3 linked regions of the Saccharomyces cerevisiae S288C genome follow. Changing the gene in region 2 together with the main gene of any one other region gives a genetic interaction. Each region holds a gene or a part of one and is shown on either strand. Other genes may lie near its edges.

What was found.
Region 1: mutations in COA6 (region 2) and YER188C-A together harm fitness more than expected from each alone (negative genetic interaction), as found in Saccharomyces cerevisiae (one large-scale study listed by BioGRID).
Region 3: mutations in COA6 (region 2) and SPG1 together harm fitness more than expected from each alone (negative genetic interaction), as found in Saccharomyces cerevisiae (one large-scale study listed by BioGRID).

The regions. Positions count from the first base shown.
Region 1 is NC_001137.3:569,090-571,653, forward strand, and holds YER188C-A (uncharacterized protein), read right to left. Parts: upstream 819-2,564; coding exon 519-818; downstream 1-518. Other genes in the region: YER189W (uncharacterized protein), read left to right, coding at 2,066-2,434; YRF1-2 (Y' element ATP-dependent helicase protein 1 copy 2), read left to right, coding at 2,391-2,564.
Region 2 is NC_001145.3:757,945-760,589, forward strand, and holds COA6 (Coa6p), read right to left. Parts: upstream 888-2,645; coding exon 573-887; downstream 1-572. Other genes in the region: YMR244W (uncharacterized protein), read left to right, coding at 1-373; long-chain fatty acid-CoA ligase FAA4, read left to right, coding at 1,863-2,645. UniProt on the Saccharomyces cerevisiae protein: Involved in the maturation of the mitochondrial respiratory chain complex IV subunit MT-CO2/COX2. Thereby, may regulate early steps of complex IV assembly.
Region 3 is NC_001139.9:962,030-964,547, reverse strand, and holds SPG1 (Spg1p), read left to right. Parts: upstream 1-1,730; coding exon 1,731-2,018; downstream 2,019-2,518. Other genes in the region: YGR237C (uncharacterized protein), read left to right, coding at 1-1,250; MIC26 (Mic26p), read left to right, coding at 2,487-2,518.

The sequences.
Region 1 (2,564 bases), on a different chromosome or scaffold from region 2:
GGATGAACAAACGACAAATAGATTCGACGTATTGAAGTACTTCTTGGCCACTTTTCATCTTCTGACGCGGTGAGCTTTTAAGAGCCCTTCTTTTTCGACTGGCCACGTGAGAAGACATACAGTTCAGCTTACATAGCTTTGGCCCATACAATACCTATGTGCCCCAAACCGCAGAGACGATTAGCACACCTTTTTACCTGCACCACAGTCATTTCTCGATAATGGTGAAAACACAGTGATACCACCGCACAGCAAAGGTGCTGCCAATGGACTTGAAATATTTTATGGAGTGCGAATAAAAAAATGCTCATGGACTCGAATATGAGATGCAAAGCCACCCTGTGCAAAATGGTTATCCTTGTGGGAGAGTGTTACGACAGTGATGTGGCATATTATTCTAATGTATGGTCTGTGTAAGTACGAAATATTCTGAAATGGCATCCGTTCAAGCAATGGTAATATTAAGGAACTTATACGTTAATGACGTCATGGTGGTATTGATACGTAATTGAGTGTGTTTATGTATTATCGTTGAAGGATAGAATATTTTTATGTTTAGGTGATTTTAGTGGTGATTTTTTTGTAATATTGACATAAGTGTATATAAATTGAGTGGATAGTAGATGGTGAAAAAGTGGTATAACGTATGTATTAAGGGCAGTTATACAATATTTGGGGCCGCCGAATGAGATATAGATATTAAAATGTGGATAATCGTGGGCTTTATGGGTAAATGGCACAGGGTATAAACCGCTGAGGCAAGTGCCGTGCATAATGATGTGAGTGCATTTGTACTGATTTAGTGAGAGATGGGCCATGGAGTGGAATGTGAGAGTAGGGTAAGTTTGAGAGTGGTATACTGTAGTAGCATCCGTGTGCGTATGCCATATCAGTATACAAGTGAGGGTGAGTATGGCATGTGGTGGTGGGATTGGAGTGGTAGGGTAAGCACGTGTGTATTATTTACGATCATTTGTTAACGTTTCAATATGGTGGTAGAACAACAGTATAGTGAGTAGGACATGGTGGATGGTAGGGTAATGGTAGGGTAAGTGGTGGTGGAGTTGGATATGGGTAATTGGAGGGTAACGGTTATGGTGGACGGTGGGTTGGTGGTAGGAAGTAGAGGGATGGATGGTGGTTGGGGTGGTATGGTTGAATGGGACAGGGTAACGAGTGGACAGTAGGGTAATGGAGGGTAAGTTTGGAGACAGGTTGGCGAGGGTTAGATTAGGATAGCATATCTATGTCACCTTATTGCATGCTGGATGGTGTTAGACAAGGCCGTAGGGACATATAGCATCTAGGAAGTAACCTTGTACGAAAATAGGCAATATTTCCTGTTTGACGCAGATTTTAGCCCAAAGATCTAGCGTTAAGGAATTTTTTTATAGTGGGACATTGCAAACCAAGGAAGTAACTTGATACGTCGTTGGTGAATGGGTCTGTTTTCTTATTCGGCGGGGTAATACATTTTGAGGGAAGGTTGTCTGTCTGACGCGCCATATGTAGGTACGCCAAAAAGGGCTCCTTTACTTCGAAGCGCGAGGTCGTATACCTAATAAGGAAATGTAATTTATAACTTTTTATTATATTGGTCTTTTCGAGAGCGGAAGAAGTTGTAGGCTAAGCGCAGGCTAAGCGTAGGTCCATGTTTAAAGTATCCAAGAGAATATCCACGAAGCGGCTGAGCAACGAACAGAATCCTGGTTCTCCTCGACTAAGCAGATAGTTAAGATACTGTGCACCATGGAAATTGAAAACGAACGTACGTACCGACTACTTTATTTTTGCAGGCCGGAAATCAAGCGATGAATGAGACATCCTTCTGTTTTCTATGTTGTGCTTGAAGGGGACAGACAGTCGCTTATCTTAGTGAGATTTTGTTTGCTTTTGCTGCACCTGCATAGCGCAGATTCTGCATCTTCTCAATAGCTTAATTATTACATTCTTAGATGATGATAAGACGGAAACTGGAGAATCTTTTGTTTATATTGATGGATTTCTTGTCAAAAAGCATAACAATCAACATACTATTGTTAATTTCGAAACTTACAAAAATAAAATGAAAGTTTCCGATAGGCGTAAGTTTGAAAAAGCAAACTTTGACGAGTTTGAGTCGGCTCTAAATAACAAAAACGACTTGGTACATTGTCCCTCAATAACTTTATTTGAATCGATCCCCACGGAAGTGCGGTCATTCTACGAAGACGAAAAGTCTGGCCTAATCAAAGTGGTAAAATTCAGAACTGGTGCAATGGATAGGAAAAGGTCTTTTGAAAAAATTGTCATTTCCGTCATGGTCGGGAAAAATGTACAAAAGTTCCTGACGTTTGTTGAAGACGAACCAGATTTCCAGGGCGGACCAATCCCTTCAAACAAACCACGTGATGGTCTACACGTTGTTTCAAGTGCATACTTTGAAATTCAATAGAAAGGATTACGATACCCTTTCTCTTTTTTACCTCAACAGAGGATACTATAATGAGTTGAGTTTCCGTGTCCTGGAACGTTGTCACGAAAAAGCGAGTGCTAGGCCGAACGACAGCTCTACGATGCGTACT
Region 2 (2,645 bases):
CACTTTTGTAAAGATTGGATGGAACCCCGTCTACCTGGAATCGTCATGTCCGTTCAAGAACGTTAAGCCTTCATTCGGTATTAGAATTACTTGTGATGACGAATCACAATGTGAAGGCCTACCATGCTCCATTGACCCAAGTTCTAATGGAGTCAACGAAGTGACAAGTTCTGGCGGTGGTTCTTCCGGGGCTGGTGGTGGAAACTTTTGTGTTGTCACCGCCAGAAACGGCGCCAAGGCCAACATCGAAGTTTTTGATGTTGGTAGCGGCTCATCTTCTAAAGGCAAGAGAGAACTGAATCCGCTAGACGTTATTACCACAACGGTCACCGAGACCAAGTACAAGACAGTCACCGTCACTGCCAAAACTTAGCGCGGTTTTTTCTACCTTCCCTTTTTTCATCTTTTTGTTATATATATATACAGAGACACTCATGCGAATTTTCGCAAAACGAAGAAAAAAACATAAAATTTTCGTTTGTATCTACATGACTATCCTTTAATTATTACCTTTCTGTCAAATGTTTTATGGGAATATATATGTTAATATGAGCCAATAACTCACTAAAAACTCACTGATTTCGTTCCCTCTGTTTAGCTTCCTGCTCGATTCTCTTGATGGTCTGCTCTCTCTTAAAGTCGATGACCCTCTTCTCCTTGAAGTACTTGATCCAGCTATGGGCGCAATTCTCCTCAAATTTTTCATTTTCCACCTTGCAGTGCGACTTTATACTCTTGCTATTCTTGGGGTCCATTGCGTCCAAGATGTCTGCCTTGTCCAAACACTGGAAGAATGCGTCCCTGGACTCCCAGCACAACTTTCTCTGTGAACGGGTATTAGGGGGTTGTGATTCCTTTTTGCCACCATCAAATGAAAATAAGCCCATCGCTATATTACTACTATTCCTTTCTGTATATTCGTGTATCTATGTTCCTGCGCAGCGCTACAATAGTACCCGTCTATGTATGTATGTATGTATGTATGTAGGCGAATCTTCTCCCCCATTCTACAAAGCAGCACCTACCACCGCAGCACCGTTTCACATGTCCGTCTCTTTTGTTCAGCTCAGCTACAATCGTCAATCGCACTTTCTTCCGCGCGGGCGAGCCCGGTTTTGTTGGATTTGCTCAGGTGCCAATATACCATCAAGGAACGGACAGGGACCTGACAATACAATAGGCCATTTACATCACAATGCACAGGGACAGAAATTTATACACGATAACAATACCAACTAAACAAAAATATCTCCCGAGCCGATGCTTATTCCGCGGGTTCGATGCCGAAATAATTGTTGCATACGCTTTATCCAACACGATGGAGCGTGTTGGGCGCTTAAAGAAGAGACTCACTAAACTGTTCGGCTTTTTGGCTGCGCGTCTTTGCCGTTTCCCAACAAAAAACAATCATACTTAGTAACAAGAAAGACAAAAGCGCAAACCGAACCGCCCAGCTCAACCATCTTCGCCAAGTAGCGGCAAACTTATATAAGCTCCAACGATGTCCCCATCAATTAAGAACCCTCGATTGTCGGCGATCTATTTTTCTATTCTGGGTGTTTCTCGGCCTTCGTTCATCTCGTTCTTTCTACTCTTAGCCCTCATCTTTCTCTTCTGCATTCTTTTCACCTCATTAAGAACATTCGCGGCGCCGCTTTACCCCAACAAAAACAGCCCATCTTTTGTTCTACCTCTTTCAGATAAGGCTCAACAGATAGACAATAACTGATCATTCTTTCTTTTGTTTGCAACCCCTCTGAGTTGACATAAAAGCGAGAATACAAAAGAACCAGCATTAGTAACACATCATTTTTTTCTCTGTTCTTCACTATTTCTTGAAAAACTAAGAAGTACGCATCAAAATGACCGAACAATATTCCGTTGCAGTTGGCGAAGCCGCCAATGAGCATGAAACCGCTCCAAGAAGAAATATCAGGGTTAAAGACCAGCCTTTGATTAGACCCATAAACTCCTCAGCATCTACACTGTACGAATTCGCCCTGGAATGTTTTACCAAGGGTGGTAAGAGAGACGGTATGGCATGGAGAGATATTATAGATATACATGAGACGAAAAAAACCATAGTCAAGAGGGTGGATGGTAAGGATAAGCCCATCGAAAAAACATGGTTGTACTACGAACTGACTCCCTACATAACCATGACATACGAGGAGATGATCTGCGTAATGCACGACATTGGACGTGGGCTGATAAAGATTGGTGTTAAACCTAACGGTGAGAACAAGTTCCACATCTTTGCCTCTACTTCTCACAAGTGGATGAAAACTTTTCTTGGTTGCATGTCACAAGGTATTCCTGTGGTCACCGCGTACGACACTTTGGGTGAGAGCGGTTTGATTCACTCCATGGTGGAAACAGATTCCGTCGCCATTTTCACGGACAACCAGCTGTTGTCCAAATTAGCAGTTCCTTTGAAAACCGCCAAGAACGTAAAATTCGTCATTCACAACGAACCCATCGATCCAAGTGACAAAAGACAAAATGGTAAGCTTTACAAGGCTGCCAAGGATGCTGTTGACAAAATCAAGGAAGTTAGACCGGACATAAAAATCTACAGTTTCGATGAAATTATTGAGATAGGTAAAAAGGCCAAGGACGAGGTTGAATTGCATTTCCCCAAGCCT
Region 3 (2,518 bases), on a different chromosome or scaffold from region 2:
TTACTACAATTCCTGAGTTTGAAGCAAAGATTGATACTCTAGCATATAAGGAGAAAAGAAGGCACCGCTTAGAAAGGATGACTAGCAATACTAGTGAAAGCATGACTACCGCGTCACATAGCCTTATAGGCCCGGATCTCTCTAGTCCTTTATCAACGGGAATAAGAATAGAAGCTATTCATAATGAGGCTAAGCAAACTTGTAGCGATATTTTAAATTACTACGCGAGAAGATTGGCAACTAAAATAGTTAGGATTAGTATTGAGATGGTAAAAGAAAATTCAACAAGATCAGCCATAATATCTGCGACCTCTCTGTATAGGCCAAGTTTGCAAGTAATCAGCACCGTTAGTGCCAACATTCAAATCAAGTTTAGAAATGGAAAAGTGAAACTACCATTTTTTTTAATGAAACACTTTGCAATGCCAGCATTTGTTGTCCCATTCGAATTCATCAAGCCTGAGCTTTTAATAAAACCTAGAGTGGATAAAGATGAACAGGACAACAGCGATGATTTGAAAACGGAAGTGAGAAAAAAGGAACGATTGCAATGGCTAAGTGCATTAATCAGGAGAACTTTGGAAAACCCTTTCACAAAACATAAAGTGGTTGATTCGGATGATGAAGAAAGCGATAGTGATGAGTCAGTAACCTCTGTAAATGAGTACTTCCCAATCTCACCTGAAAAAAAGGAAGAAATGGAATTCTTCGATAAGATGGGATATGTTAGACCAAAACCGTCGAGACAAGTACTATTGGATGATAACACTCTTATGAAGTACGACAGTTCTGGCCGAAAGCTAACTCCTATAGAATCGAGAAATTCGAGGCGCAGCTCAAAGCGGAGTTCAAGAATACAATTCAACAATAACGGCATTTATAAAGTAAAGTCCATGGTTGATGACATTTACAACCACGAAACTGCCTCTACGCCTCATATCAAGACAGCACTAAAATGGGACAATGAGGATCCGAAAATGAAGTTCACTTCACATCCAATGAGAAAAACAAAATCCGCAGGGCTATCACCCAGAACATCCTCCACTTCATCTTCTTCAGGACAGAGAAAAGCGCATCACCACCACCATCACCACAACCACGTTTCAAGGACGAAAACTACCGAAAGCACCAAATCAGGCAACAGCAAAAAGGACAGTTCCTCATCCTCAACAAACGACCATCAATTTAAAAGGTCTGAAAAGAAGAAAAAAAGTAAATTTGGCTCGATCTTCAAAAAAGTTTTCGGATGAACCGGATTAATACAAGTAAAATCAGCAAAGATATAGAAGACAAAATAAGCGTGAAAACAATCATAAACCACTCACAACGGGGGTTTTCAGCTGTTACTCCTCCATACATACATTTTGATAAAGATATAATGTTATATTTCTTTTCGTAATTTTGTTTTACTTCGGTTTGCTCTATAGATTTCATCAGCCGCACCGAAAAGGGAGATCAATAAGGTACCCTTTAAAAGGGATAAGAAGCCTACATCACCCCAATAAATGGAGTAATGGCCAGCATTGGATGAAGAGAAGAATTACGGGATACTGGGATAACACTGTTAAAAATGCTTCGCGACGTGAGGGTCTTCTTCATATAAATTGAACTGCCAAATCTCTTTCACATTATCCAGGATAGTTTGGAATGTGTGTTACTGAAGGATCAGAATCAATAAATACAATCAATACAAATATTTAGCGCATAAAATTCAAACAAAGTTTACTGAAATGAAGTTAGATTCAGGAATATACTCAGAGGCACAAAGAGTTGTGAGAACTCCAAAGTTTAGATATATTATGTTAGGGCTGGTGGGCGCTGCTGTGGTACCGACCGCATACATGAGGAGAGGCTATACGGTTCCTGCACATAGCTTAGACAACATCAACGGCGTAGACACAACTAAGGCGTCTGTTATGGGTACAGAACAGAGAGCAGCTATGACGAAGGGTAAGAGTTTACAAGAGATGATGGATGATGATGAAGTAACGTATTTGATGTTCTCTTCAATCATGTAAGGGAATTTGTACTTGGTTCCCTGCATTTATGTTCTTTGCATTTTGTTTTCGCATTTAATCATAGTACGACAAACGGGGAAGGGGATTGTGATTTTACATAAGGCCCCTCCCATCATTGAGAAGGTTATTAATCAATACATATATAAGCATTTTCTTTTATACATTAATTGAACTGATATTTATTTTATGACGCAATAAAGCCTCTAATGCACTGCTATTATTGTTACTGTTAGTAAATATTCAACTAGCATAAATGATTGATGAGGGGATTCATTGCAAATCATTGGTGAGTTCCCTTTACATACTAAAGCGCGGGTAACCGTTACTTCTTTTATTTTTAATCTAATGGAAAGGCGAATAAGCTACTGCCCTATAATACTAAACTTGAAAAGAAGTTGCGTTTGCAACCGACTATAGCGCTCAAGGATATACAAAAATAACTACTGTATTTGATATAGCACGGAAACAATGACAAAAGATTTTTACCGTCAGCTAGATCC